Danio rerio: one gene and its partners. The protein of the gene in region 1 interacts with the protein of each later gene in a biochemical or structural test. Links are inferred from orthologs where the notes say so. Each region holds a gene or a part of one and is shown in the gene's direction. Other genes may lie near its edges. The genes, in order: prkcaa, hmga1b, hdac6 and si:ch73-368j24.12.

Evidence for each region.
Region 2: of the proteins of prkcaa (region 1) and hmga1b, one has a biochemical effect on the other in vitro, tested with the Homo sapiens proteins (2 studies listed by BioGRID). The link is inferred for Danio rerio from reciprocal best matches to the Homo sapiens genes PRKCA and HMGA1.
Region 3: the proteins of prkcaa (region 1) and hdac6 form a complex in vitro, tested with the Homo sapiens proteins (2 studies listed by BioGRID, with this or other methods). The link is inferred for Danio rerio from reciprocal best matches to the Homo sapiens genes PRKCA and HDAC6.
Region 4: of the proteins of prkcaa (region 1) and si:ch73-368j24.12, one has a biochemical effect on the other in vitro, tested with the Homo sapiens proteins (2 studies listed by BioGRID). The link is inferred for Danio rerio from reciprocal best matches to the Homo sapiens genes PRKCA and H1-5.

Annotation. Positions count from the first base shown.
Region 1 is NC_133181.1:19,671,838-19,680,336, forward strand, and holds the start of prkcaa (protein kinase C, alpha, a), read left to right. Parts: upstream 1-4,064; 5' UTR 4,065-4,223; coding exon 4,224-4,390; intron 4,391-5,199; coding exon 5,200-5,231; intron 5,232-8,499. UniProt on the Homo sapiens protein: Calcium-activated, phospholipid- and diacylglycerol (DAG)-dependent serine/threonine-protein kinase that is involved in positive and negative regulation of cell proliferation, apoptosis, differentiation, migration and adhesion, tumorigenesis, cardiac hypertrophy, angiogenesis, platelet function and inflammation, by directly phosphorylating targets such as RAF1, BCL2, CSPG4, TNNT2/CTNT, or activating signaling cascade involving MAPK1/3 (ERK1/2) and RAP1GAP.
Region 2 is NC_133181.1:56,825,820-56,834,396, forward strand, and holds the start of hmga1b (high mobility group AT-hook 1b), read left to right. Parts: upstream 1-3,931; 5' UTR 3,932-4,086; intron 4,087-4,484; 5' UTR 4,485-4,493; coding exon 4,494-4,583; intron 4,584-5,017; coding exon 5,018-5,095; intron 5,096-8,577. UniProt on the Homo sapiens protein: HMG-I/Y bind preferentially to the minor groove of A+T rich regions in double-stranded DNA. It is suggested that these proteins could function in nucleosome phasing and in the 3'-end processing of mRNA transcripts.
Region 3 is NC_133183.1:8,962,919-8,970,845, reverse strand, and holds part of hdac6 (protein deacetylase HDAC6), read left to right. Parts: coding exon 1-81; intron 82-166; coding exon 167-207; intron 208-338; coding exon 339-435; intron 436-2,724; coding exon 2,725-2,822; intron 2,823-2,933; coding exon 2,934-3,038; intron 3,039-5,090; coding exon 5,091-5,159; intron 5,160-5,257; coding exon 5,258-5,384; intron 5,385-7,548; coding exon 7,549-7,614; intron 7,615-7,695; coding exon 7,696-7,755; intron 7,756-7,927.
Region 4 is NC_133182.1:6,160,501-6,167,653, reverse strand, and holds si:ch73-368j24.12 (histone H1-like), read left to right. Parts: upstream 1-4,377; 5' UTR 4,378-4,419; coding exon 4,420-5,025; 3' UTR 5,026-5,116; downstream 5,117-7,153. Other genes in the region: histone H3, read left to right, coding at 5,726-6,136. UniProt on the Homo sapiens protein: Histone H1 protein binds to linker DNA between nucleosomes forming the macromolecular structure known as the chromatin fiber. Histones H1 are necessary for the condensation of nucleosome chains into higher-order structured fibers.

The DNA of each region.
Region 1 (8,499 bases):
AGGTTATGTGCTGACTGTCTGACTGACAGGTGCATGATGCGTGAGGCCAGCAAACACGACGTATAGCTGTTTCACTTTACTTCACGACACATTAATATCGCTATGTAGGTCTATTAGAGACATTCATAAATATGCCTAGAAAATTTAATAAATGCTAGAGACATAAACGCACTAAATCGCACTTCAGCAGCGTTTATTTGAGCGCACAAGAAGATCTGCATGCTCTTGAAGTGGCTCATATTTGAGGGGGTGTGCAAGAAGAAGGGGATGTGCACGAGCAGAAGAAATCGGCATGCAAGCAAAGAGATCCCCATGCTGTAGGCTATTACATAAATGCGATCTTGACTTCTAATACTGCACTTACAACATTTGTCATTGAAATAACGCCACAGGTTGTTGATAGATTTGTGTAAAAGGCCTGCCGCCACAGCTGGAAAAAATCCTAGAAGAAACACTGTAATTTTTTTTTTATTATTATTTTTATTTATTCATGTATATTTATGCAGTAATTAACATAAATTTGCCCAATTGAAAACAATGGAATTTTTGGAATTTTTATTTTTAATTAAGTTTAAATTAGTGCTGTATTTCCGAGTAGGGTCTGTCTGCGGACTGCAAGAAAGGGGCATAACATGAAGGGGGCATAACTTGTAGAAGAGGCAGAATTTAAAGTCATGGAGACCCACATGTCATTCTATGTTGTCGGCATGATGGCAATGTACCTATCAGTTATTAACATCTACACCTACTCCACACCTAAACCTAACCATCACAGTGATTAACGCCTATACCTACCACAACCCTAAACCCAACCGTATACTTCATACTTGTTGTGCTCAAAGTCGTAACCGAGTTGCTAAATGAATGAATATAATAATATATCAAATTAATTGGGTGTGGATAAATTTGGAGAAAACTCATGAAAACATTTGGTGAAAATGATCTCTTGTAAGTATTTCCACCATCTTGCCAACAAAATCTCGTTGTGACATCTCACATGGTTCAATGGGATCTCCATTACTGCAAATTACGTCTCTCTAACTTACTACAAGTTACGCACCTTCATGTTACGCCCATCTTGCAGTCCACAGACAGATAAACTTGGTATTTCCAGGTAAAGTAAAGACTGCCATTTGAAAACAAATTCAAAAAGAAGATTAGCACCCTCTGGTTATGCAATGACATGGTGCAAACACTAGGTTCTAGTATTACTATCTCTACAATGCTGCTTGAGAATTCCTTTCTAGAGAAGCTAAAATACTTCTTTCTGACAAGGTTTTGATATTTGTTGTTTGACAAAGTGATTTGAAGTGTAAAGTTTTTTTTTATTTTGATTACGTAAAAACTACATATGGCTATAAAGAGACTACACAAAAGGCTTAACATTTTGTATGATGCAGTGTGTTTGTTTTTCCCACTTAGCATCTTTTTTCAGAATCATGGTGATTTAGTATTTTTGCAAACAAAATATTTTATAAATGTTCATATTTGACATATTTGGTTATTTTCTCTTTCTCACCTGGGGCTCTATTTTGATGATCTGTGCGCAAAATGCAAAGTGCAGGTCGCAAACGCATTTAGGGTGTGTCAGAATCCACTTTTGCTAATATAAGGATGGAAAAATCCGCTTTGCATCGTAATGCATGATCTAATATTGAAACCTTTTATGCACAGACGTCAATTAGCCTGTAAATAATAATTTTGTTTAAGTGCAGAGATTTGTTTCAAAACTATTTCTAAATTCAGTTCTAATTTCCAGCAAACAAATAAATGAACAATAATAATGAAGTGTGCTCAAAAACCTGAGTTATATCCTAATACAAATGCTGTGCCCCATATGGTCTAAAACATGACAGGTGGCCAAATCTAAGCTTATTTTTAATGAAACAAATATAAATATGTATATAATAATTAATACTGCTAATGATAACATTATACAAAAGCAAATTATTATGAAATAACTGAAAAAGCTTCTAGAGATGAAGAAGGCATGAAAGTAGGGTTTTTATATTTTTGTAGGCTAGAAAATAATATGTTTTGTAATATTTTACAATTTACTTTGTTCTGGTCTATTGAAAAATCTATTATAGTTTCTCAAAATAGCACCACGCCAGCAATGCTCCTCAGAATGCCTTCCTTTTTAGAGCAGAACGCCTATGGGCGCACATATGAGCGCAAATGCATTTGCTATTTAAACAGCGTGGCGCAAAACCTCAAAACGACTCCTGCACCATGCTGAAACTGGCAAACAACAATTGCGTCACGCCTTTCCCCACATTTCGCTAGGTGTATAATAGGGCCCTCTGTGTGTGTATGTTTGTGTGCGTGTATGCGCATTTGTACACTGAGTGTGTGCAGATCAAAGCTAAATTATTAACTTAAATGATTAGATTTCCTAACACTGTAGAGCTTTTCTTTTAGTAATTACACCTGCTATGCCATCTCCAAATCTAACCTCTCTCTTTCTTTCCTTCTATACTCCTCAAGTAGTTCTGGGTTGCTGTACAATTTTTCCAACCTGGCTTTTGCTAAAGATTAAATTTTTTTCATTGCTGACTGTTTAAAATGAAACAAATCAAAGCAAAATATAAACAGTTAGTACATTTTAAAATTAACATTAAATTCAAAAGAGTAATTTGAATTTAGTATGCAATTTTACTTAAATTCTCATTCCTGAAACACATGTTCTCTCTACCGCAACTGTCCCTAAATGGTTGCGGTATATGAGAAAAGAGTTGCGGAGAATGAGGTGCCTCAATATGTTTTGCAAATAATAGGGAAGCTATGATGATTTAAAAAAAAAATTCTCAGTGCATATAATTAAGTCTTTAAAAAAGTTTGTTTTCATAAAGATTTGCAAATCTAACAATTATGTTAATGTAGAAAACTTCCTGTTTCGGTAATGATAATCAAAAAGTCTTGTAACCATTTTGACAGGAGAAAATTTTACATTAAACTGGAGAAATATAAAAGATTTTCTTTCCTGGCAGTCATCTTAAAACAACTGGCCCATGTGCTTCTATATACAAAATTAAACTTTATTTAAACTCTTTATGTGTGTTTAAACAGCACTTTAAAATGGTTGCAGAGGATGAGAACATCTGTCACGGACACCTAATTTATCATTTTTTTCTAAATGTTATTATACATGAATATTCTGTAAACTATTTGTTTCATCATGTCAGATAACCTATTAAAACAATTCATTTGTTTTTATTCAAAAAAAATTATGCTAATTTGTTTAAATTACAACATAACACACGTTCAAAAATGCATGGACACGTTTCGGTAATGAGAATTTTAGTAGAAAATGCAGTAAAATGATTAGAAATAAGTAAATTATGTTGAAATTACACATTGTGCTTCGTAGAGAACAGCGTTGTCTTTATTATAATGTTTTTTTGTTAACAAATTACTAAGTTTTATATTTAAAATCTTAAGTGCCACGTTGTTTTACTGGTTTCGTGAGAATAACCCATATATATATATATATATATATATATATATATATTTCACACAAGTAGCAGTGCGATGTGGATATACAGTATATCGACATTGGTGGGAGGTGTGCATTGCACTACTACATAAGACAGTTCGACTTAGAATGTCACTTACTGAATTTTTGCCTCTGGCTTATTATTAAATACATATATATTTATTCTGGTTCTTAAATCTGATTGGCTGACCAGAACTCGTACGGTCTCAGTAAAACATCAAGTATTTTTCAAGTGTTTTTGTTCTTGTTTTTTTTAACGCCAGTCTTTCGCGAGTAAGAAAATAAACACTTCACCAAGGACACCAAATCATGCTTCCAAAATTTAACGCTCAGCAAAACTTGTAGATTAAAGAAAAAGAAAACATCCAAACCTGTCTCAAAAGTCACTGGTGATAATCTCGTGGATTCTTCACAGTAACTTGCAAACAGGTTTGTTGACCGCCGGATGACGCTCATTGCACGGTGCTCATGATCCAGTGGCGAGCGTTATTATCCACTCCCAGCAGAAGGACACTTCGGTGACGTCACCTCGAGCGAGAAGGAAGCGGAGCGCTCGCTGGAAGCTGTCACACACAGTAGTTGTGGCGAAAGCAGGAGAAACCTTTTCCGCACGCGCGCGCCCAACTGTTGCGCTACACGGACAACTACGGCAGAAAAAACAACGTTATAATTATCTGACAGCAACTTCCTCACACTCTACGGGGAATTATTCGCTCGTGTTTCTGCAATGGCTGATACACAAAGCAACGAGCAATCCTCGTCTGACGTTGCAAATCGATTTGCCCGTAAAGGTGCTTTGAGGCAGAAAAACGTCCATGAAGTGAAAAACCATAAATTCACCGCGAGGTTTTTCAAGCAGCCGACTTTCTGCAGTCATTGCACTGACTTCATTTGGTGAGTAGATCATTTCACACATGATTAACGTTAGTGCAGTAGCAGTGTAAGTTTAAAGATACTGTAGATCTTGCTACTGGCCTGTTAACCAGACGTACACATAAAAACATACACTACTAGTTCAAGCATTTAAGAAACGCAATGCTTACAGTTAAGCTGTTTTGATAATACACATACATAAACACGTTTAGTTTATTTCACTGTCATAAAGAACTCTGCTTCACACCTGTCACACGCTTTGATTTTCTTTCATAATGTCTTTTTTTTTCGTTGGACAAAGCTAATGTTAAAGTTTTTAAGTTTAAAGTTTTAAAATGTTCCAGTAATCGTCATTCTTCAGCGTTTACTGGTGTTGCCATGATTTGGGCGTGATCAGTTTGTCCAGGCTCACAGTGGGGCATTCAGCTGCTCAGTCAAGACACTGCCATACTTGTTGATAGTTTAAGAATGTAGTAACTTGTAAAAGTTCAAATATAAGTGCTCAGATATGAGTCAATAAATGTATAGACAAATTCGTGGAAACAGCTTATAAATTGCAATATTACAGCAGTTTATTTATTAACATGCAGACGTGTCCCCTTTAATGATTCAATTTATGACTCCCTGTAAAAGTGATTGAAAAAAAAATCCCCTTTTATTGCTTCCTACATGTGTGTCGTGACAAATCAAACATTAGATATTGTAGCTGTCAGTGTACATTTTAATTAAGGGATTGCTTGTTCAGTGGAAGGCAACTGATAGCTAAAAGCCCATTAAAGGATTTAGAGAGGCAGACCTCTAATGCATTGTTTCTCTCTTCTCTTCATCAGGGGGTTTGGAAAGCAAGGATTTCAGTGCCAAGGTAAGCAACTATTGAGGGATGGGCATGTTCCGCTAATTCTCTGAATAGTCACTCTTGAACCCATATATACATATGAAGAAGTTGCTTTATGTCTCGTTTCAAATTAAGACATTATCTACAACCAAATTTCTTTCCACACACCATTAGCTGAGTTTAATGCAACAGAACAAGCAAATGTTCAGAATGAAAGAGAGTTGCTGTATCTGATTATTGAACTCAGCAGAGATGGAGTGAGCTGTAGTGTGTCACATAAACATTGCTTGGCTGGCCTTGAGCTAAATAACTTTGACTTAAAGAAAGAAACCCAATAGCTTTGGTATCTCAGTGAAAAGTCTCTCACATAAAGGGATGGTTCTTGAAGAAAACCATCTCTGGAAACGGCTTCAATGAACTACACATTTTTAAAAAAGCTAGTTAATTTAAATTTAACGTTACTTTTTTGATTGAAATGTGTAGTTTTCCCCCCAGATTTCACAATGACTACAAGCACATAATTGATCCTGTTATCAGAATTAATTTTGCTGTCTGTAAAACTAAATACACAACAATAATACATGCATTTACACAGCTATTACAGTGAATTACAGCAGGTTTTTGTATATTCATTTGTCCTTGAGTAACTCTGTGAAAGTGTGCTTTACACAATGCATAATTAAATTTTTAAAGAATTTACACATTGGTCTTGACATCTGTCTCTAGCATACTATTTTAAGTCCAGTTGTAGTGATTTTAATGTGTGCATACTGAGCCATGTTTTTCAATTGGAACTAAGTACTAAGAGTCATGTTCAGTAATACAATCACAAGTAGCCACTGATCAGTCAAGTTACCAAAGGTGCAAACAGTATTAATTTAAAATGTATGATATAAAAAAGGAACCTGTGGTGGACAAAGCTTTACAGATGGTTAGCCACATTTTCATCTTTGCAAACTGAATTTGAGCATGGATTAAAACATTTAATACTGGTATACCAAAGTAAATACAAAATTATTGACTACTTAAAATAAAAAATATAAGTATTAAACATTCACATGCTGTTTTTCCACAATATAAGGAAAATGGTAATACACAAAAAATACATAATGTTAAACAAATACAAAAGCTTTATTGTAAAACACAACATGATGTAATAATGTAAGGGCGTCACGTTGACACAGTGGGTAGCATTATAGCCTCACAGCAAGAAGCTCACTGGTTGGAGCCCCAACTGTGTCAGATGGCATTTCTGTGTGGAGTTTGCATGCTCTCCCCGTGTTCACGTAGATTTGCTCTGGGTGCTCCGGTTTCCCCCACAGTCCAAAGACATGCGCTATAGGTGAATTGAATAAGCTAAATTGGTCATAGTGTATGTGCGTGAATGCAAGAGTGTATGGGTGTTTCCCAGTCTTGGTTTGCGGCTGGAAAGGCATTCGCTGCATAAAAGATATGCTGGATAAGTTGGTGCATTCCACTGGGACGATCCCTGATTAATAAAGGGAATAAGCCAAAATGAAAATGAATGAATGAATGAAATAATGTAAAAAAAAATAATTTACACTATAAGATAAAACTAAATCCTGATGTACAAACCAATTAGAAAGAAAGAAATGACCGCCTTTAAGGAAAAGCCATCAAACACAAGCTGACCCACAGTTTTAATATTCAATAATTGATCACTGTAGCATATTTATTGTGATATTGTACTTTTCACTGTGCATTTCTGCTAAAAATAAGATGTTGTCGAACACAAGGAAATCAATGCAATTTTTGAAAAGTAATTATTTAGAAACGGAATATTATTACGTAACTCCAGTTACCTGTAATGCATTACCCCCAACACTGGTAAGATGTTCCGGGGACATTTGCATCTGTATATGTAGCTATTTTGTTCATTAGTTGGACCAACAAAAGCTCAAATGGAAACAAGGCCTCAGTATGTCCAGCCTAACACCGTGTACTGCTATGTGATGCAGCAAGATAGCCTGAGTGACTATATACCGCTGCTTTCAGTAGACTGGCAATAATTGTCACATATATTATTATTTAAACTCACATTGGTAACATTTAACTCTGAATATAGCACACAATCTGTACCTGAGGGGATATTTGTCATAGTAGTATTAGGACAAAAAGTTGTTTTGTCATGGAAAAAAATACCCTTCATTGTGTGTTGCGGCATCGCAATGCATGTAGTTAGGACAGGGTGTTATTGGGTGTTCATTTGACTAGTAAAATTTTGATCAGCCCAACACATTTCCACAATTGTTTTATTCTGATGTGGTAGGACTGTTAAAGCAAAGGTTTACTATAGTTTCTTTGCTCCTCGTTTCTTTGAATTCTATTGTACCTTAAGAATGCAAGGACAAATAATGAGTAGGTTTCAAAGGAGCTATTAGCAAAGTACATGCATTTTCCATGTGGAAGCTAAGTTGTTTTGGATAAAAAAAACACTAAACAAATTTTTGAATAACAGCCAGTGTTTTAAACTCTCTCCTTACCTTAGCCCAATTCACAATGGTAAGCGGTTTTCTAATTTGACAGGTAGGATTTTTGCAGGAAATATGAGCTTGCCATTGTTTGTCTTTGCGTCATTGTCTCTTCATAAATACAGAAGGATTTCCAGCTACTAGGCTATTTTGCAGTTGGTCAGAACAAAATGTCACTCATAATTTTAGATGAGATTTTGTGAAAATTCTAGTTTGGCCGAACTTTTAAGAAATAAGAGCTTTGATTTCATAGTATAATATTCACATTGTTGTGGACTTAAACAATGCAAATTTTTCTTTCACATTGTTGACTTAAACCCACACATATTTCTTAAAACGTTCAAGGATTCATTCAGTCCTTCCAATGCACAACCTATGTGAATATGATAATTCTGAAAATAAAGGCAAGTGCATGTTTCAAACAGAGATAGCGACGAATAGACAAAACTTAAGGACTGAAGTTTGTTAAGGTCTAGATCAGATATACGGCAGATCGGAAGTGCGATTTTGCACATTAAATTAGCAGTATATTTTCACGTTATTGTGATGGTTGGGTTTAGACTTGGGGTGGGGGTAGGCATTAAAAAATAAAATTTATTGGGTTATTTAATATATAGCATAAATATAACTGGGTACAACTACTGTTTTTACATTACTGTGACGGTTGAGGTTTGGGTAGATGTTAATTAAACACAATAAATCCGATTTTTATAAATAATTTATTATTTTATAAATAATATAAATTATTCTCGTTAACTTCCGGCCACAACCATATCCGATCTACCAACAACTCTGAAGTTTTA
Region 2 (8,577 bases), about 37 Mb from region 1:
TCATTTGTGAATTTTAATAATACACAATCATATCATAGCCTCTTTTACCATAATTTCACCTACTAAAATGCCACTAAACATAGCAATAATTTAAACACCAAATAATCATAATTAAGACAAGAATATTTAATGACATATTAAAGTAATCTACTTGAGAAATAGTACACCAAAACCTCATTATTTTAAATCTTTACAATTTGCAATCTATCAATGCAGTACAATTATTTGAAGTAAAATAAAATTGTATAAGCCTATATTATTATTATATTACACATCAATGTAATAAATGTATATATTTAATCAAATACATGTCTAAATGCTTTCATATATTTTAGATATATACATACATATTGTATACGTAATTATGACACAGGCAGTGGCAACAGTCTCCAAACACACAGACTTTGCTGGTTAAAACTGTAATCCCAGTTGGTTAAAGCTGTAATCCCAGTTAGTTAGCAGACTAGCCCCATACCTTTAGCCAACCTTATACTCACAACTAAACACTGTTTTATAGATCTCTGAATTTCAATATATAAATAAATACAGCAGTTTTCCCTTTTCAAAACGTTACTGACTCGCAGTGTTAAGGCAGAATGTTCTAGAGTGGCTTGCAATGTAAACAAGACAGAATCCATTCACAGCCATTCAACACGCAAGAAAACACGACTGTCGCGCATTTCAACTCATCGGTTCGATCAAGTTTCAAGACAGAAAACATTGAAATAAAGGACAAAGTGAAACGCTTACATACAGATCACGTAAAGCTCATTGTTTTGAATATTCCAGTCTGCTGTCACCAAGCGCAATGACGTAGTTTGCCAACGTCACATTACCGCGCCACCTAACTGAAACGAGAGGAGCTTGTTTTTTAATATTATTTCTCCGTATTATATTCGTATTATATCTGTCTAATTTAAATATAAAGTCTCATTTTTAATTATTGTCTTATTACCTGATTAATATTATTGGCAGTTTAGTAGTAGGCCTATTAATAGGCTTCTTATAAGTATGATCTTATTCTACATCCCTAATCAAAAACCCAGCTAGGTCTACTTTAAAATTAAGCAGCAAATTAATACTTTATTGAGCTAAAAGTCTTTAAAATATAATAAATTGTTAAAATAATGTATTCTTTATCATATCATTACAATATAGCATATTTGTTTATAGTTACATGTTATTAAATTGTTAAAATATAGCCTATTTCTGTCCTTTCTTGCATCTATCTATCTATCTATCTATCTATCTATCTATCTATCTATCTATCTATCTATCTATCTATCTATCTATCTGTCTGTCTGTCTGTCTGTCTGTCTGTCTGTCTGTCTGTCTGTCTGTCTGTCTGTCTGTCTGTCTGTCTGTCTGTCTGTCTGTCTGTCTGTCTGTCCGTCCGTCCGTCCGTCCGTCCGTCCGTCTGTCTGTCTGGCTGTCACATTAGTTTGAATATCAATTACCATTATTAATTACTGTCTTATTACTTGCTTATTATTAAAGTATTGGCTGTTTATTAGTAGGCTACTTGCAAAGTATGATGTTATTGTATATCCTTAATCGTAAACCCAACTACTACCTATATTAATAAGCAGTTAATTACTTTACTTTAATAACGTTAATAGTAGGAATTGTACCTTAAAATAGAGTGACCAACATTTTATACATTTATTTTTTAAATAGCCCATATAGCATGTGATCTATCCGGTCTTTTTCTTTTTGTTTAAGTACATGTATTATATTATATTATATTATATTATATTATATTATATTATATTATATTATATTATATTATATTATATTATATTATATTATATTATATTATATTAATTATAGCTGCACAGCGGTGCAGTGGGTAGCACGTTCACCTCTCAGTAAAAAGGTCACTGGTTTGAGCCTTGGCTGGGTTAGTTGGTCTTTCTGTGAGGAGTTTGCATGTTCTCCTTATGTTGGTGTAGGTTTCCTCTGGGTGCTCCGGTTTCCTCCAAAAACATGTGGTATAGCTGAATTGGGTAGGCTAAATTGTCCGTGGAGTATATGTTTGAATGAGTCTGTATGGATGTTTTCCAGTGATGGTTTGCAGTTGGAAGGGTATGCGCTGCGTAAAACATATGCTGGATAAGTTGGCGGTTCATTCCGCTGTGACGACCCCCAGATTATTAAAGGGACTTAGCCGAAAAGAAAATGAATAAATGAATATATTATATTACATTATATTATATCAAGTGTTGGGCAAAGAATATTCATGATTAATTGCATCCAAAATAAAAGTTTGTTTTGGCATAATATATTTGTGTGTGCTGTGTGTATATAAAAGTGCACACATGCATGCATATGTTTAAGGGAAAAAAGTAATTTTAAGATATATATATATATATATATATGGATGTAATACACTATATATCATTTTTGTTGAATATTTATTTTTTTATGTGTATCACATATACGTTCATACCAAATAAAAATAATACACATATATTATGTCGAAACACACTTTTAGTTTAATGTATTTAATAAAGATTACTCTTTGCTCAGCATTAATGTTATATTATTCATTCATTTTCCTGTCGGCTTAGTTCCTTTATTAATCCGGGGTCGCCACAGCGGAATGAACCACCAACTTATCCAGCAAGTTTTACCACATGGGATGCCCTTCCAGCTGCAACCATCTCTGGGAAACATCCACACACACATTCACACACACACTCATACACTACGGACAATTTAGCCTACCCAATTCACCTGTACCGCATGTTTTTGGACTGTGGGGGAAACCAGAGCACGCGGAGGAAACCCACCCGAACGCAGGGAGCACATGCAAACTTCACACAGAAATGCCAACTGAGCCGAGGCTCGAACCAGCGACCTTCTTGCTGTGAGGCGACAGCACTACCTAGTAATACCTACTGTGCCACTGCTTCGCCCTAATATTATATTATATTATATTATATTATATTATATTATATTATATTATATTATATTATATTATATTATATTTTATTATATCATATTATATTATATTATATTATATTTTATTATATTATATTATATTATATTATATTTTATTATATTATATTATATTATATTATATTATATTATATTATATTATTTTATTTTATTGTATTTAATTTTATATTATAACATTTATTTATTCATTTTCTTGTCGGCTTAGTCCCTTTATTTATCCGGGGTCGCCACAGCGGAATGAACCGACAGCACTACCTACTGCGCCACTGCCTCGCCCTATATTATCATATTATATTATATTATATTATATTATATTATATTATATTATATTATATTATATTATATTATATTATATCATTTTATATTATATTTGGAAGGGCATCCGCTGCTTAAAACATGTGCTGGATAAGTTGGCGGTTCATTCCGCTGTGGCGACCCCAGATTAATAAAAGGACTAAACCGAAAAGAAAATGAATGAATGAATATATTATATTAGTCTATTTCTATTAATTTTATCTATCTATCTATCTATCTATCTATCTATCTATCTATCTATCTATCTATCTATCTATCTATCTATCTATCTATCTATCTATCATTTGATTGTTGATTTGTTTTTGTTATTTTAAATGATAGATTGATTGTGAATCCATTTGTCTATTCTATTCTATTCTATTCTATTCTATTCTATTCTATTCTATTCTATTCTATTCTATTCAAGGGTTTAAATATCCCATGATCCCTAAAGTTGTTTTGTACTTGGCGCCGCTAATTTATCAGCGCCAGTATAGAGTATGCAGCAGCATATGGCCCCGTGAGATCCGCCTCTCTTCCCATCAACCTGCGGCTCATCCTGCTTTTCCATTGGCCTTTTATTCCTCAGACAGCCTGCTATTCCTGAACTCGCCGTAATCGCATCTATCGCGTGTATCCCTCGACAGGATCGGAGCTGACAGAGTTAATTTCGCTCCTTTTGGCACCCGCGGACGTCGATTTGCCTCGGAATTAAGACGGTGCTTTAAGGGTAGACGGTCGGTTGCGCTATAATTTAACATCGTGCGGGAGGTGGAGCCGCCGAACAGAGCAGCGCGCGCACCACGACATTATTATTCCTCTTAAGTGCATGTAAGTCAATGTTTCGTCCTGTGTTAAATGAATGCACGAGGGCTGTAATGCTCGTTTGCACGTCCGCCTTTAAAGCGGAGCTCACGCTGTATGGCTTCCATACAGATTTGTCGTTGCATAACCTATTGAGCGCCTCGCCTGCATGATCAACATCAGAGTGATTCAGATGGGTTACCGGCGTGAATTTGCCAATTGTACAACTTTGAAACTTGATTATGCATTATTTTGATGTCTTTCACTGTTTTAAAGTGAATTAAACTTCACTTATTAGCATTGCATTTGTGGTTTTAGGGATGTGTTTATAATCATGAGCTATTAAATGTATGCTTGAGTTGCAAGTCAGCACAAATATTAAATATTGCATATTATATTTAATTGATTCCACGTGTTTTGAACAGACTGCAATCATGAGTGATTCAGAAAAACAAACCGTCTCCCTTAAGGACAAGGATGGAGTAGAGAAAAGAGGACGAGGAAGACCAAGGAAGCATCCTAAGGTACATAAAACAATTGCATTATCTGTTAACAGATATATTGATCAATGAGCAAACATAATGCAATCAGTTTAATGCATAAAAATACGCACCCTCAGTTTAGTATAACATACAGAGGGAACATCCTAAAAGGATAGTTCACCCCAAAAAATTATATTTATTCACTATTTACTTCCTTTTAAAAGCTATATGAGTTTCTTTCTTTTGTTAAACACAAATGACAACATTTTAAAGAAAGCCGGAAACCAGTAACCATTGACTTCCATAGAAAAAAAAAACAATGGAAGTCAATGGTTACAGGTTTCAAGCTTCCCTTAAAACACATTTCTTTGTGTTCAACTGAAGAAAGAAACTCATATAAGGGAAAGGAGAGTAAATGAAGACAGCATTTTCCTTTTTGGGTGAACTGTCCCTTTAATAAACATGTTTTCTTTCAGGAATCCAGTGGGTCACCAAGTGCGAAAAAACCAAGAGGACGACCAAAAGGCAGCAAAAACAAAGGCCCATCCAAGAGAGTGAGCAGTCTTGCTTTTAATTAACTCGCATTATGATTAATGAGCCTCTTTGTGTGATCATGGCATAGCCGTGAGTGTGGATATAAATATAGACTTGCTGTTTTTTTTTCTCACTATTGCCTGGTAGTACAACACAGCTGTCTCAGGTTTGCAAACACACAGAGACATATGCATTATTAATTCTGTATAGTGTATGCAGGTTTTTTTTCGTTGACAGCTCATCCCCTGGCTAAATGCAGGTGACCCGCTGTTAGCCACTTAGCCCTGAGCAAAGCACTGTCAGCTCCCGCCTCAAGAGTCCTCCATGAACCCAATGCCCCCTCCATCTGCTGTTATGTGCAGAAAGAGGCTCCCTCTGCTGGTGCACTTGCCTTGCTTTGCTATTGGTCTGTGAAAATGCTGTGGGGAGGGGGACAAAAATCACCCATTATATCCAATGGTTTAGCCTGAGAGGGTCAATAGAGAGGAGGAACTATGACGTCACCTTGTAGGCTAATCGGCTGCTAGCATAAAACTGGTTCCCTAGAAAAAATCTCTATAGGATTTTCCCATAGGAAGATTGCAAATAATAAGCTCTGTGTTCAAACACAGTTCATTACACTCACACATTTTTTCCAGCCGGGTAATCCTCACACTAAAATACAACTTTTAGCACTTTTGGATCTTAAATGCAAACGCAAGAACTGAAAAGCTAACATTAGGCTAAAAATGTACTACAGTGCCCTCAGGGCGCTCACCTGTGACATCAGCACCACCCTGCTACAGACATTTCAAGCTTATTTTTAGAAATATGGTCCATGACAAAGATTTTTATTATATTATAATCCACACTATATATTATAAACAAATAAATTCACAAAAACACATGGACCTCCCTGCAGAAAAATCCAGCTTAAACCAGCCTAGGCTGGTTGGCTGGTTTTAGCTGGTCGACCAGGCTGGTTTTAGAGGGGTTTTGGCCATTTCCAGGCTGGTTTCCAGCCATTTCCAGCCTGGTCTTAGCTGGTCAGGTTGGAAACTGACCAGCTAAATCCAGCTAAAACCAGCTTGACTAGCCTGGTTTAAGCAGGACATAGCTGGTTTTGGCTGGGCTCCCAGCCTGGCTATGCTGGTCAAGCTGGTTTTAGCTGGTCATTTCCCAGCCTGACCAGCTAAGACCAGGCTGGAAATCAGCCTGGAAATGGCCAAAACCCCTCTTAAACCAGCCTGGTTGACCAGCTAAAACCAGCCAACCAGCCTAGGCTGGTTTAATCTGTTTTTTTTTCAGTAGGGAGCTACGTGCCTTTTTGATCGTTTTACGTGGGAAATACATTTTTTTTTTGCTTTACGGCTGTTGTAAAAGTTTTAAAACTATGTATAAATGTGCCTACATATCATAAGACATATTTAAATAAGTGTATTAAGCCTGCTTACTTTAACAGGTGACAGAAATGAGGCGTGAGGAACAAGTCTATCAAATGCCTGCAAGTTCCTTCATTGATAGAGAACAACTTTCAAGATTCTTTTTATGTCACGAAGTACAGCGAAAAGCAGCCCATACAGTCACATATGCTTTACCTTTTAAGGAGGAGTGTAAATATTGCAGTTATGGCAGAGTTAAATGTGTTTAGATAAAGAAAGAAATTAATGAAAAATCACCTGATTACTATAAAATGACAGTTAATATGTGTGTATTTTTACACATTTATTCAAACGTTTGTATTACTGAGAGCAGGAAAGAGACAGGCTGCACTCGTGAGCAGTATCTTCATAATATCGTTTAATTAAATAAATAATCAACAAATTAATCTGTCTCGACTGCCTTTAAAAGTGAAGGCATTATCTACACACAATATGAATTCCCATTTAGAAAAACACTACAAACTATTAAATACTATTCATGAAAATACTTAAATAACAGACAAATCCAAATGCCTAACACAAGCGAGCTGTGCTCCAGACCAGTTCAGCTCGATGACGTATAATGTCATTGACACAGCCTGTAGTCCCATATCGCAACTTGATAGCAACCGTCTTTTTAAAGAAGCGTAACCGATTTAAAAAAATCAAGAGTGTGATGTTACTGGTGTGTATTATGTAAAAGCCAATAGGGTACATGCCGAAGCATACTAATAGGACTTTTAATTTGCCAGTAACCTGGGTTAACCGCTTCCGGTGAACTGAATGCTATTGCAAAACCGGTGCAATTAAGGTCTGTTTTCTTTAAAAATCAGCGATCTCCACTGGCTGAGTGATATCCAATATAAAGTGGGTCTCAGATTGTACAAGAAGCACCGCATTAATTTCCCCACCATGCCTTTTGTGCATTTATTTTACCCTAGTATATTCAATTGAGCTTCTGCGGTAACCTGCCGATTCTGATAGGTGCGTGCAACAGTTTTATGTCTCGTTTTACGCTTGAGCAACTAAAGGAATGACAAAGTCTATTTAACTGAATGTATTTTAATCACATTACAACATTGATGCAGTAAAATGAACTGATTAAAATAAAAATAAAAATCACTTTAAAAGGTCACCGGAAGTTTATCAAAATGGGAAAAACACTAGCTCGGCATATACCCTATTGACTTTGGGACAAGAGAACCGGAACTGCCTAAATGCTAACTCGGTTCTAGGTTTTTGCATACAAATTGACATCAAGGTTCCTCCACTCTACTGCATGCAACTTAATGACATTTTTTTAATTAGTTTTTTTCTATTAGTTATTAACAGACAGACAGACAAATCCATCATGTAACAATAATCTCTGCAAAAATGTCAAATAAAGCATGAAAATGGTGACATATATGACCTACAAAAAGGCTGGACGTAATGACTACTTACAAATCTTCAGAAATCAAACAGCATTATTAGTCTTTTTGTTATGTTAGAATAAAAAAAAAATCCCTAATTTTATCAAATTTTGTAGAGTTCCCAGAGGTGGCATGTCTAAATCTTTCCAAATGTAAAGTTGAGGTGAGTCCAAGAAGTCGGTCAGAAAAGAGAAGCCTTCTTCCAGAAACAAATGATAATTTTCTTAGTTATGCTCTTGCTATACGGAGCAGGTAACCGTACATTTCGGTTGAGAGTCTCCAGGAATTCTGACCAACCCAAAATTGCTATCATTGGGTCAGGTAGTTACATTCAAATAAGGGTCAGAGAGGATCCAAGTGCAAGTGACAATGTTTATTAGTCTTAGTCAATAAACCAACAAGAATTGTGCCAAGCTAGAGGGACGCAGAACACAGGGCAGGAACAGAACAGGAAAACCGGGTCCAGATATTCTCCTCAGGGGCCTGAGCACAGACAGCGCGCGCAGGCACGCACACACATGAGATATATAGGCACTATGATGAGCCTCAGCTGGCGAACTAATCAAACCAGCTGAGTGTCGTCATAGAACGTGAGCATAACAAATCCACATGGACAACCAAAACAAAACAAAACCACGTGATCAAACATACACTCCGGAGAAGCGCACAAACCTGCAACCGTGACACAGG
Region 3 (7,927 bases), on another chromosome or scaffold:
CCAGAGTGTCCAGCGAGAGTGAGCACGGTAATGGAGATGCTGGAGACTGAGGGTCTGCTGGGACGCTGTGTACAAGTGGAGGTAGAAATACACATCTATTGATGTTATTTTGAACGTATATTACCTGTATTCCTCTTGCATTGAATAGTTTGTTAATGCATTTTAGGCTAGAGCTGTGACAGAAGATGAGCTGCTACTCGTGCACACGTAAGTTTGTGTCATGGTTTAAGATTATAAGACTGACACTGATTATTGTGTAGGAATTGTTTTAGGATTATCTCATGTCGCATGGGTGTGTATGTGTGCGTGTGCGTGTGTGTGTGTGTTTGGTATGACAGGAAAGAGTATGTAGAACTGATGAAATCCACACAGAACATGACAGAGGAAGAACTGAAGACTCTTGCTGAGAAATATGACTCGGTTTACCTGCATCCTGTAAGTCCTCTTCAGTCTTCAATTTTAGTTGAAGTCAGAATTATTAGCCCTCCTGTTGAATTTGAATTCTTTCTAAACATAATAGTTTTAATAACTCATTTCTAATAACTGATTTCATTTGTCTTTGTCATGATGACAGCGCATAAAATTTGACTAGATATTTTTCAAGATACTAGTATTCAGCTTAAAGTGACATTTGAAGGCTTAACTAAGTTAATTACGCAAGTTAGGGTAATCACGCAAATCATTGTATAACGATGGTTTGTTTTGTAGACAATCAAAAAAATATATAGCTTAAAGGGGCTATTAATATTGACCTTAAAATGGCTTTAAAGATTTTTTAAAACTGCTTTAATTCAAGCCGAAATAAAACCAATAAGACTTTCTGCCGGAAGAAAAAAAATGATCGGAAATACTGCGATAAATTCCCTGCTCTGTTAAACATCATTTGGGAAATGTTTAAAAAAAGAAATTCACAGGAGCTCTGATAATTTTGACTTGAACATATAGTCAGTAACTCTGTTCTAAATCAGAACCAGACATTCCTAGTTAAGTCACCATAAAGTTAATATAGAGCTTGAGAAATGCTCCTAAACATGAATCAGTAACTGCTATATTGGCCCCTTGTTTTGACAACAGTGACATTTTAACATGTTTACATAATAGGATAAAAATAATCCATCCTGCCAAAGGGTAGTACATATATGGTTTCAAGCAAAGTGCAAATTACAGGGGGGTTTGGGTGGTGGGGGGGGGCTGACCCCCGTAATTAACTCCCAAAGGACATCAGCTCTTTAATAGTGAGAAATAGTTTTCTCTGATTTATATCTTAAATAATAATGTAAATAATATAAATAATATATTTAAATATACATTTTACCACCCCTATAACGGTTCATACCATTGTGAATGCATAATCAGTCTATGCGAGAAATCCATCTGTGCGAGAAAAATATTAATTTGATGGCCTGAAACTGGCATGTACACCACAGATGGACATTGTAAGTGTTAAAAAGACATTTTTTCTAGTAAAATAGCTGTTTTGTATAGATTTAGCTTAAAAGTAAAGTCAAATTAGACACATAGGGCTCTATTTTGATGATCCAGGCGCAAAGTCGAAAGCGCAGGGCGCAAAAGCATTAAGGGCGTGTCTGAATCCACTTTTACTATTTTAAAAATCTGCTCTGTGCCGTGGCGCATGGTCTAACAGGGTTGAGCTTATTCTCTTAATGAGTTATAGGTGTGTTTTGAGAATAAACCAATCAGAGTCTTATCTCCCAGTCCTTTTAAGAGTCAGTTGCGTCGCGCCATAATCGCATATGCTATTTACATGTTGAACTTAGTAAGTGGAATAACTGAACGCTTTACTAAAGAGAAAACAGTTAAACAGAGCATCTGCAGCAAGAGAATGAGAGATGAGCCTACTCATTGTTTACTTTCACTTTCACTCTCTTTTGTGGATAAGGAAACGTGTTGTGTGCACAGACATCCATTAGCCTACATAATTAATTTTGTTTTTTAAGTGCAAAGATTTGTTTCAAAACTATTTCTAAATTCAGTTCTCATTTCCAGCAAACGAATAAATGAACAATAATAACGAAGTGTGGTCAAACAACTGAGTTATGTCCAAACACACATGCTGTGCCCCATATAGTCTAAAACCTGACAGGTTTATCTAAGCTTGTTTTTAATAGAGCAAAATAAATATGCAGATAATAAATAATACTGCTAATAATGATAACATTATTCAGAAGCAAACAGTCATGAGTAAACTGAAAAAGCCTCCTGAGATGAAGAAGGCATGAAGGAGTGGATTTTATATTTATGTAGGCTAGAAAATACTAATTTTTGTAATATTTTATTCCTGTAATTATTTTTCATTTGTAAAGACATTTGTGAATTGCTGTACATCCTGTGTGTATAAAGAAATGTTTAAGCGAGGCGTTCAGCTGACAACAATAGCCTTGCGCTGCATTGCGCCGTGTGTATGATAGGGCTCATAGTTTTCATAGTTTAACCCAAAGTAACCTGTGAAATAGCTAATCAGACATTACTGTAAATCAGAATGCACTAAATATCCCTTAAAACACTTAAAAAATGAAAGATGTTTTATTAATAATTTAGATGTAATTTAAACAAATACAATAATTTAATTAATTAAGCATGTGTTACGCAAATGAACATTAGCAAATATGTTGACACCCCCCCATTCGTCAAGGTGTAATTTGCATCCTGCTTTTAAGTAACATGATGACCATTTTAAATGAAACAAATTCAATTCCACACCAGGGGTTTTTCAGCTCCGCCTGTCTGTCAGTGGGATCAGTTCTCCAGCTGGTGGATAAGGTGATGACATCACAGCTGCGTAATGGCTTCTCCATCAACAGGTGTCACTGCATCTCTTCTTCTCAACAAATCAGATATATCTTTTTTATTATTATTTTTTTATTTTTATTTTTATTTACATGGAGTTGATATTGTCTTTTGTAAACACACAGGCCTCCAGGTCACCATGCTCAGGCAGATAAGATGAACGGCTTCTGTATGTTTAATAATCTGGCCATAGCAGCACGATATGCTCAGAAACGACACAGGGTTCAACGGTGAGTCTGCTTTCTTTCTTTACCATGATATGCTTAGATACACATGAAAGATATTATGAATAGCTACATTTTGCTGGTCTTACTGTGAGCGAGCATATAATATATCTTTGTCGATAGTAAGAGTCAAAATCGTTTTTCATATGTAGTGACTTGTAAAGTGATTTTTTATTTCATTAATATTTATTTAGCAGAGGGGTTCTAAACCTTTTTCACTGCAAGGCCCACCTTTTTCTCCAAATAATATAGAGAAAATACTTATTTTAAAGCATTAGCAAAACATTTATTTTGCCTTCTATTATTCTCTTATTTTTCTACATCATTAAAAAAAATGAAACATTGTGCATGTGTGTGTGTGTATATATATATATATATATATATATATATATATATATATATATGTATATTTATATATATATATATATATATATATATATATATATATATATATATATATATATATATATATATATATATGTATGTATGTATGTATGTATGTGTATATATATATATATATATATATATATATGTATATATATATATATGTGTGTATATATATATATATATATATATATATATATATATATATATATATATATATATATATATATATATATATATATATATATATATGATATTTGTTTTGTCTATCAAATTTTTCAGTTTGAGTAAAAAAAGTAATTTAGTTTTTGGTAATTTAGTATTTTTATTTAGTTTTGTTGTTGTTATTATGTAGGAAAGTGTCTGGCGCATATAGAGAGGAATATCATAATACTTTGATATGCATAATACCTTGATATAAGGTTGCATAGCTGGTGGAAAATATTAGGCAACCCAGAGGAAACAAATGAACCAAATTCCAGTTTAGGTTTAACAATAATTCAATCAAATATTCTGCAAATACGTAACAATACTCAAACCGAATGGGTTGCAAATACATCAGTGTTGGGGAAAGTGACTTTTGAAAGTAATGTAATACAATATTAGGTTTCTCCCCCAAAAAAGTACTCACTTTTTATTGTAAGTTATGCTTTACATTACTTTTAAATTACTTTTGCGTTGCTTTTCTTTATCTTTGCTTAGGCTTGATCTCTTTCAGAACTTGCAGGTTTTTTTCTTCTATTTTAATATAGAGGAGCTCTGCAAATAAGGACGCACCTTTAAAAATAAGCATAAAAATAATGAAGTAAAATGTTATCTTCTTAGAACTTTTTGACCACAGAGCTCCACATGTCATATCTACAGATTAATGAAAGTTTAAAGCTATGTGTCTGCTACTTTTGTACTTTTTTTCTTATGAGTGAAATCACTGTCCATTAAGACAATCAATCCCCTTTTCCTTTTTTTTCCCGTCAGTTCAATGTAATGAATGCATTCTCTCTGCGTGATTCAATGTGACTGTTAACTTTAATTTTGCAATTAATTTTTAAAGAGTTGATTAATTAAAGTAAAAAATAACTCGCATTACTTTAAAAAAAAAAAAGTAACAAATATCGTTACACAATTTGTTACAAAAAGTGGTGGCATGGTGGCTCAGTGGTTAGCACGGTGGGTTAACAGCAAAAGTTTGCTGGTTTAAGTCCCGGATGGGCCAGTTGCCATTTCTGTGTGGAGTTTGCATGCTAGTTATCAGTTAATGCTCCAGTTTCCCCCACAGTCCAAACACATGTGCTATAATTGAATTGGGTAAACAAAATTGGCCGTAGTGTATGAGTGTGTGTGTGTGTGTGTGTGTGTGTGTGTGTGTGTGTGAGAGAGTGTGTGTGTGAGAGAGAGTGTATGGGTGTTTCCCAGTACTGCGTTGCGCCTAAAAGGGCATCCGCTGTGTAAAACATATGCTGGAATAGTTGGTGGTTCATTTCGCTGTGGTGACCCCTGATAAATAAGAGACTAAGCCGAAGGAAAATTAACGAATAAATGAATGTTTTTTTTTTTTACTTTACTCGTTATCTAGAAAAGTAATATAATGTAACTCGCTTTACTTGTAATGCCTTACCCCCAACACTGGTCTTAAATACAGTTTGTGGTTTGAGAATTTGTTGTTTCCCACTGCAGAGTTTTAATTGTGGACTGGGATGTGCATCACGGACAGGGAATCCAGTATATTTTTGAAGAGGATCCCAGGTATATTTATCAGTCACCAACATTTAAGATTACAAATATTCTGTATTAATATTTGGTATTTTAAAATGGTCTCATCTGCCGTGTTCTTGTTTTGGCAGTGTGCTGTATTTCTCAGTGCACAGATATGAAGACGGCTCATTCTGGCCCCATCTAAAGGAGTCTGACAGCAGTTCGGTTGGCTCAGGAGCAGGACAAGGCTATAATATCAACCTGCCCTGGAACAAGGTATGCTCAGCAGGGGATGAATTTTAGGAATTTAAAAGGTCTATTGCAGGCACTGAAAGTCAGGGTGGGGGCCTGGGGGTTTGTTCAATGTAGGACTGCAAAATATATCGTTTCAGCATTGATATTGCAATGTCCACATCCGCAATAGTCACATCGCATGATATGCAGTGCTGAGTTATGAATATAGTTGACCAGGAGAAACCGCTCAGAACACATGAGTTTTATTTTTATTTATTTATTTATTAATTAATTAATTTATTTAACAGGGACAATGCACAAAGATTACATTAACCTCAAAGAGGAAAGATGCGTTGTGCCAGGTTGTAGCAGGATTGCTAATTTCCACCTGCAGTCCCTGGACAGGTTAAAATTAAAACAATAAAATCCAATTAATTAAAAAGTTAGTTTAAAAAATTAAAGCATAATCGCATATAAACTAAAACACTGACAACTCAAAAGCATCTCACTCAGTGTGTACAAATTTGATTTGACAAAAACCACCTCCTAGTCAGGCGTGAAAACATCTTATAACTTGTACATGTGATTATTTCTGTTGGGAGGGAAGTCCATAGATTTGAATATTTATAAATAAAGAAGGATTGACCAAAAGAGGTCTTTCGTTTAGGGACAAAACATTCCCCTCTTACCATAGAACGTGTCACTCGTGATGTTTTCTCTGATTTGGAATTTACAAATTTTTTAACGATGGAGCAGAAAAATTTTAAATAATTTTAAAAACAAAACAAGTATTGGTATATTTAATAATATTATCAAAACTTAAGAGACTATGTTTTTTTAAGATATTGCAGTGATGGTACAACCGAGACTTTTTATCATGAATTTTAAGTCCTCTTAACCATAATGGAGTGAAGGTTTATCAATTGCACATGTTTTTGAGGCTTGTCAGAGTTCAAAAAATTCAGGCACAAGAGATGCTACCATTTGTAACTTTGATAAAGAATAATTTTATTGAATTAATTATATTTTGTAATGCTATTTTACATTTGAATATTCATATCCTGTACTTAAACACTATTTGACTGGCCGGAAAACCATAAAACACTGTTTATTACACTTTGCTCTATTGTATTGTATTGTACATCTTTGCTCTATTGTATTTATCTATGCTTGTAGTTTGTGTATTACATTTTGTGCAAACCTGCCTTCAGATATATGCCAGTCAATCTAATAAACAAAATTCTTTCCAAATAGCAGTTTTTAAGTCATGTAGTGAAATTCTGTAAATATATCAGAATGTTTATTGCAGAAAAATGAAATTTCACAATGTCAGATTTTTCCAATATCATGCAGTCCTAGTTCAAAGCATGAAATATTAGTGGATTTTGTTAGTCAAAAAATGTTCGATACCATATTTAGGCATGGACCGTAGTTCGGAGCGAAATATTTCTGCCACGATCCCAGCGTAGTGATGAAATTATTTTAGTTTTAAGAGTCTGAATGTCACTTGAAGCTGTATCAAACTCAATTCATTGACCTCCCTGCGGCCATATCACGTTCATCCTAGGTTGCGTTAGATGTTGCAGGCCGCTGTTGCGACGGCTGTGCGTTAGCCACTTTATTGCCTTTAGTTTTCATCTTCGTTGCACAGGATTAGTTTAAAATGATCTCCATTAGGCACAATTATCTGCAGGCACTTGAGATTAAGTAAAAATGTGCATTAATTCTTGTTAATTCTTCATAAGTTTTGTAGTGAACAATTAATCTGTGCATGGCATTAAGAAAGAAAAAAGTAATCTAAAATTATAATTAAAAATGCTCTTCCTGTTTGTTTTCAGTTCAATTCTCAGATTAGGTCTGTCTGAGGTATTGGGCGGGGCTAACATACTTAACCACGCCCCTCCAACTGTCTGTTTTGTCTGTAAGGTTGTAATAACTCTGCCCAAAATCCTTTTCCTGATCTTTCTGAATGAAATGCCTACTTTACAGCATCCAATCAGCTCGCAGTACAAAAATTAAGCCACACCCACTGTTTTCTCATATTCCATTTCTCTAGAAACTGCGTCACAATACAAAAAAAAAGGACATCGCTTCTGGTTCATGTGGAATTTATCTGACATTAAAGTGGACAGTAGATCAAAACAACATGAAATGCTAGTGTTTAGGATTGTGCTGAATGTAACCTGATGCCTAATTTAACCTACAGGTGGGGATGGAAAGTGGAGATTACATCACAGCTTTCCAGCAGCTTCTCCTGCCTGTGGCATACGAGGTAAAAGCACTCATGAGGATAGTCACTTATTTAATCTTTTATTTTCATTGGTCGCTGATCATTGGTGTGTATTTCCTGCAGTTTCAGCCTCAACTGGTGTTAGTGGCCGCTGGATTTGACGCTGTGATCGGTGACCCAAAGGTAGCTTACTCTGATCTTTTCTTAATATTTGTTTTATGTATATTGTTCATACTCATTTGAGCACAATCATACAACATTTCAAGTAGGGATGCACCGATACTATTTTTTTGGGAATCGATTCAATTCTTATACTAAAATTATGAGTATCAACCGATACAGATCTGATCCGATA
Region 4 (7,153 bases), on another chromosome or scaffold:
AATTAAATTTTCAAGTATTTTGTGAATATTTTTTTATTTAACTTAGAATGCAATTGCTCCATATTGAAATACAATCACATAAAAGCAATGCTCTCCTACATTTTTAGCTTTTAAATCTGCCATAATTTTAAAACATGAATGGTTTGACTAGAAATGTAGTTTTTCACCATCATACTGATTACATTTTTAGGTCAATCGGCAGAACTACTGCTAGAACCGCTGTAGTTAAAACCAACTCACAGTTGAAGCATCCTGTCTGATCTTACTAAGATGGAGTTCACAGAATTTCAATGACACTGAAATTAAACTTGATCAGACTGATTTTTTTTATCTTATCTTTTAAATTTCCCCACATGCAAGTTTATACCACAAAAATAAAGACAATCAGTATACAATTAAGCAGTCTCTGAACAAACAGTCTATTAAACTTTAAATGATATCAATGGTGAGGTGAATTTATATTATTTAGACTGTAAGAGTCTAATATCGGAGTATCATCTCCCTGGGAAATACAATAGAAAGACAAAGTAAAACTGACCGTATTTATCCGATTCTTCTTCTGAAAACCACTACTGATGATCATCTATAATGTTCCATGAAAGTCCATCACAGATCACAGAGTAGTCACTGAAAGTATGAATCACACAATCACCACTGACAGAAACATTCAGAATAACAGGTCCTGTCTACAAGAAATAAACAGGCCAAATCAGTACTAAATATTGAAAATAAATTAATAAACGCTTAATCAATACTCACATTTGAGCAGCAGCAATATTGTTCTCAAAATATCCGAACCAGAGTGAATTGGTAGCATTAGTTCACCATGCTGTCCTTCTTCCAAACACAAGTCTCTTGCACTCTGGTGAGCTGGAATATATCCGGTTATCGCACTCTAGTGGCTCCTAGTGTCATTACAAACGCTGTTTATCACATCACAAAGACCCAAAATGATCAAAAAGCATGTAATGTTAGTTGGATAGAAAATCTAATAAAGCCTTTTCTGATAAACAACTTTGTTTGCCCCAAAATACTGCAATTAGGTTCTATATTTACAAACCTGGAGATGTTACGGGATAGTTAAGGGACACAGCAAACTCCATTCAGGCTATATTCAATGTCAAACAAACATTATTTAGACTAGAATTAATAATTAAAAATAATAAGATTTTAAAGATTTTATAGACTTATTTTCTGGGCACCATCGTTAGATAGAATTTAGAATTGAACCAAGCGTTTGTATTTTCTGAAATGATAATGTATTTAATTTATTATTGTGATTATGCTTATTGTTAATGTAGCCTTTCCTGTGAGTTTATTTATGAAAAGCTACAGTAAAATCCACCTTGAAAGCAAAAGTTAAACTTTTACCACATAAGCACTCTGAATCAGGGGTGCCCAAACTTGGTCCTGGGCTAGCTAATGAGCTCTCAGTAGGCTTGCTGGAAAAGTCTTGGCAGGTGCGTTGAGGCAAGTTGGAGCTAAACTTTACAGGACACTAGCCCTCCAGGATAGAGTTTCGGCACCCCTGCTCTAGATTGACAGTGCTTCCTTGTCTAAACCAGGGGTGAGGAACCTTTTTTCAAGAGCCATTTGAGATTTTAAATGCATTTTTAAAGAGTCATATGGGCTGTGTGTCTATAACAAAACCTTTATATTTATATATACACAAAACCTTTATTTATGCCCATGCATAATTCAGAAATAAACAAATATGACGCACCACAATGTATGAAGTAAGGCCAATTTACATTTACATTTAGCAGACACTTTTATCCAAAGCGACTTACAAATGAGGACAAGGAACCAATTTACACAACTATAAGAGCAACAATGAATAAGTGCTATAGGCAAGTTTCAGGTCTGTAAAGTCTAAGAAGGAAAGTATTAGTAATTTATTTTATTTTTTTTTTGGGTACAGTTAGTGTGATATCCAGAGAGGCAATTGCAGATTAGGAAGTGAAGTGGAGACTAAATAGTTGAGTTTTTAGTCGTTTCTTGAAAATAGCGAGTGACTCTGCTGTTCTGATGCAGTTAGGGAGTTCATTCCACCAACTGGGCAGATTGAGCGTGAGAGTTCGCGAAAGTGATTTCTTCCCTCTTTGGGATGGAACCACGAGGCGACGTTCATTTACAGAATGCAAGTTTCTGGAGGGCACATAGATCTGCAGAAGTGAGAGCAGATAAGAAGGAGCAAGGCCAGAAGTCGCTTTGTAGGCAAACATCAGAGCTTTGAATTTGATGCGAGCAGCAACTGGCAGCCAGTGCAAACGAATGAGTAGCGGAGTGACATGGGCTCTTTTAGGTTCATTGAAGACCACTCATGCTGCTGCGTTCTGGAGCAGTTGAAGAGGCTTGATAGAGTTAGCTGGAAGCCCAGCTAGTAGAGAGTTGCAGTAATCCAGTTTGGAGAGAAGAAGAGCTTGAACAAGGAGTTGAGCTGCATGTTCAGTTAAGAAGGGTTGGATCTTTCTGCTGTTATAGAGTGCATATCTGCACGATCGAGCAGTTCTACAAATGTGGTCAGAGAAGTTTAGTTGGTCATCAATCGTTACTCCAAGGCTTTTCACCATTTTGGATGCAGTAATGGTTGCCCCATCCATCTGGATTGAAAAGTTATGGTGTAGAGTCGAGTTGGCAGAAACTACAAGCATTTCCGTTTTTGCAAGGTTAAGCTGAAGATGATGATCTTTCATTCAGTGTGAAATATCCAACAGGGAGGCTGAGATGCGAGCTGGAACCGAGGGATCATCAGGATGAAAAGAGAGGTATAGCTGGGTATCATCAGCATAGCATTGGTAGGAGAATCCATGTTTCTGGATGACTGGTCCTAGAGATGACGTGTAGATGGAGAAGAGAAGTGGCCCAAGAACAGAGCCTTGAGGTACCCCAGTGTTTAAATTTTTTTTTCTTTTTGCCATCGCCACCCGAATGTTTGAATTTACGTGCGTGAGGTTACCATCGAAAATGTAAGAAATATAACTTACCCTTTATTGTTGTCGCTATTCAAGTGAAACCACAGCACAACGTATGCGCATTGGTTGAAACGTCCTTTTATTGTAAACTGAGTTCTTATTAATTTTGCTGTAGAAAATACAATATAAAGAAAACTGTAATTGTACTTGCAAACTCATAATTAAAAATGTTGAATTACTAATTGAAAAGAGACAGCAGGAGAACCACATATTTTTGATCAAAGAGCCTCATGTAGCTTCCAAGCCATAGGTTCCTTACCCCTGGTCTACATGGGTCTCAAACTCAATTTTTAGAGGGCCACAGCTCTGCACACTTTTGCTCCAACCTTAATCAAACACAGCTGATTCAAATAATCAATGTGTTTGAGACTCTTTTGAACAACTTTTGGATTAGCTGTGGTTGATTAGGGTTGGAGCAAAACTGTGAAGAGCTGTGGCCCTCCAGGAATTGAGTTCGAGAAGCATGGTCTAAATGTTTTTCACGACACAAGAATAATAGCATCTTTGGACAGAAGACATTATAGCAAGGCATCTTGTTTTTGTTAGGGTTATACTGCCACAACTATAATAAACTTCTGATGATTGCTTTGTTATTTACAGATTTTGCATTATGTAGGTTAATATGCTACTCACTGGTGCAGTATTTTAAAGTACTGAAACATCTTTAAAATACTTAAAAATACTTTAAAACATGCATTTGCTTCAAGGCAATTGATAAATAATGTAGAATTTTAATTTCATTTATACTGTGGATATTTCTTATTGCTTGAAATTAAGCTGTTCAGTATGGATGTTTTTTTATTGTTATTATTGTCTTATATATTATTTAGAATTTTTTATATTTTATTTATTTTATTGAGTGATGAACTCTGGTGTGACATGATTTTTTTTTTTCTTTTGGATTAATAAAGTTCAAACAAAGAAACAAACAAAGAAACAAAATATAAAATATACAATATAAAAAGGTCTTATTTTAAAAAATAAATAGATAAATATATATATATATATATATATATATATATATATATATATATATATATATATATATATATATATATAAACATTAACAATTCTTGCTGCATATCTTGTTTTATATTTTCACAGGTCCTATTGTGCATAGTAAAACAACTTCAGTGAAAGAACTGAGGATAAATGACTCCATAAATCTAAAACAAAATACAGGGCGTCTCCTGTTTGAATTCCATGACAAAGGCTTGACCCTCTTTATATCAAAAAGGTCTTTCTAGTCTGCTGTAAAATATTTTATTGCACTTTTTTTAGTCTTTGTTTAAACGGAGAAAGCACAAGTTTTGTGTCGAGGCGATTGTCTGAGGAGCGGCGATTGAGTCTACACGGTTCTCATGTGACAGTTAAGTTCACAGCGCCGCCCAGCAGAGCTTCATTTTTCACTGCTAGTTGTAGGTGAAGGTTACTCCTCTGAGAAATGGCTGAAACTGCTCCAGCTCCCGCTGCCACGCCGGCAAAAGCTCCCAAGAAGAAAGCGGCGTCCAAGCCCAAGAAAACGGGCCCAAATGTCCGCGACCTCATCGTCAAGACTGTGACTGCGTCCAAGGAGAGAAACGGCGTGTCTCTCGCAGCCCTGAAGAAGGCTCTCTCCGCCGGTGGATATGATGTGGAGAAGAACAACTCCCGCGTCAAAACCGCAGTCAAGGCATTGGTGACCAACGGCACTCTAGCCCAGACCAAAGGCACAGGCGCCTCCGGCTCATTCAAGCTCAATAAGAAACAAGCTGAGCCCAAGAAAGCAGCCAAGAAAACCGCCACGAAAGCCAAGAAGCCCGCCGCTAAGAAATCTCCCAAGAAGGCGAAGAAGCCGGCGGCCACATCTGTGAAGAAGGCAACAAAGAGCCCCAAGAAAGCTAAGAAGCCGGCGGCTGCCAAGAAGGCCACCAAGAGCCCCAAGAAGGCAAAGAAACCAGCAGCTGCAAAGAAAGCAGCCAAGAGCCCCAAGAAGGTGAAAGCAGTCAAGCCCAAAACGGCCAAACCCAAGGCGGCAAAGCCCAAAAAAGCGGCTCCCAAGAAGAAGTAATCTACTATTTCTGCTCGATTCTTCCATAAACTAAACGGCTCTTTTAAGAGCCACTCACATAACAGTGAAGAGCATTATTTTCAAACACTTTTAAACTACTAATCTTGAAACGGTAACTAAATATGCCACCAGAAAAATAGACCAGGGCAGGAAACGCAAACAGTTCATTTTGAAAGCAATCCCTTTCGTTCCCAAGTGAGGAAAACTTTTAAGTTTTTTTTCATCCAATTTATCTGTACTCACAATTGAATGCCTAAAATACTATACTGATGGATGCATAAATTCAGAACTAATGTAGGACGTTTTGCTTAAAGTTTACTTTAGGCATAAGTTCCCACTTGAAGCATTCGCTTCGATCTGAAAATCACATCGCTGTTAGCTTATTTTCAAAAGCTACATTAAAACATGATAAAGAAGTTATCTAAAAAACAAATAAATGTGCAAGTTTCGCCATTGTATGCAACAATAACTTATCCTGAATAAGTTTTTTTGAGCGGGAAAAGCAACTGTCTGTCAGTCGTCTGCTGGGAAAAAAAAAAAAAGTAATGCTCTGCCATTGGTCAGAATGTTCACGTCACACTGCGACATAAATGCAACAGCCAATCAAACGCCTCAACAACAACTGCCCTCCTATTAAAAAGCTGAGTATGCAGCCTGCGTACATCAGTCTACTAGAGCTCCGTCTAGCATCACATCTATAATGGCAAGAACCAAGCAGACCGCCCGTAAATCTACCGGAGGAAAGGCTCCGAGGAAGCAGCTCGCCACTAAAGCTGCTCGTAAGAGCGCTCCCGCTACCGGCGGCGTCAAGAAGCCTCACCGCTACAGGCCCGGAACCGTGGCTCTGAGAGAAATCCGCCGTTATCAGAAGTCCACCGAACTACTGATCCGCAAACTGCCCTTCCAGCGTCTGGTGAGAGAAATCGCTCAAGATTTCAAGACTGATCTGCGTTTTCAGAGCTCCGCTGTCATGGCCCTGCAGGAGGCTAGCGAGGCTTATCTGGTGGGTCTGTTTGAGGACACAAACCTGTGCGCCATTCACGCCAAGAGGGTCACCATCATGCCCAAAGACATCCAGCTGGCCCGCCGCATCCGCGGAGAGCGCGCTTAAAGCTACTGCTGACGCATTAAAACCCAAAGGCTCTTTTAAGAGCCACCTCAATGTGTCTAGAAAAGATGATTTTTCTTTGCGTTTAATCTCAATGGTACTGTGTACTAAAAATATGTAAAGGCAGTGGCTAAGTTGACTTTATTAATGCCAATAGGAGCTAGATTTGTAAGCAGCTCGACTTTATTTTGTTTAACAGGGACAATGCCCATTAATCAACAGTAAAACACTAAATAAGTCCGAGTTAGCCACAAGGGCTAATTTTCATCTGTTGCCCCTGCCAGATTTTAAAAGGCAACCTAAAATAAAAAATTAACATACAAAAACAGTAAAGTTACATATGACAAAAGGATAAAAAGCATGAAATAAAAATATCTTAAAATGTTAGACAAAAGAATTACACATGATTACTTGGGTAACGCTTTCTTTTACAACCCGCAAAGTACCGCGTAAGTACAGTGAAATTAAAGTGTACTTTTCTGTACGTACTAAGTAAGTATAATGAACGTATGTGTAGGTATAAGGGAACAAACCGTAATGCTTGGGTAAAAAGGGGGTAACAACCAGATGTTCATCACGAAAATTACCGCGTAAGTACAGTGAAATAACGGTGTACTTTTCTGTACCAATAGTGTTAAGTATAAATAACGTTTACGTAGGTATAAGGGAACAAACTGTAATGCTTGGGTAATAAGGGGGTAACAACCAGATATTCAGCATGAAAAGTACCGCGTAAGTACAGTGAAATAACGGTGTACTTTTCTTTAAATTGCAAAAGAACAAACCATTATGTTTGCGTAATAGGGGAGTAACAATAAGATATTCATCACGCAAAGAAGTATATTAAGTTTACGATGTACTTTTCTTCAAGTATTGTATACATATAAAGAATTATGCAAGGATGGTGACAACCTATTGCTATCTGCAAATGTACTGTATATGCACCTGCGTGAGTACATTAGTACTCTTATTCAGTGCTTGGGTTTTATATGGGGTGTTTAATGAATAAAAGGTTTACAA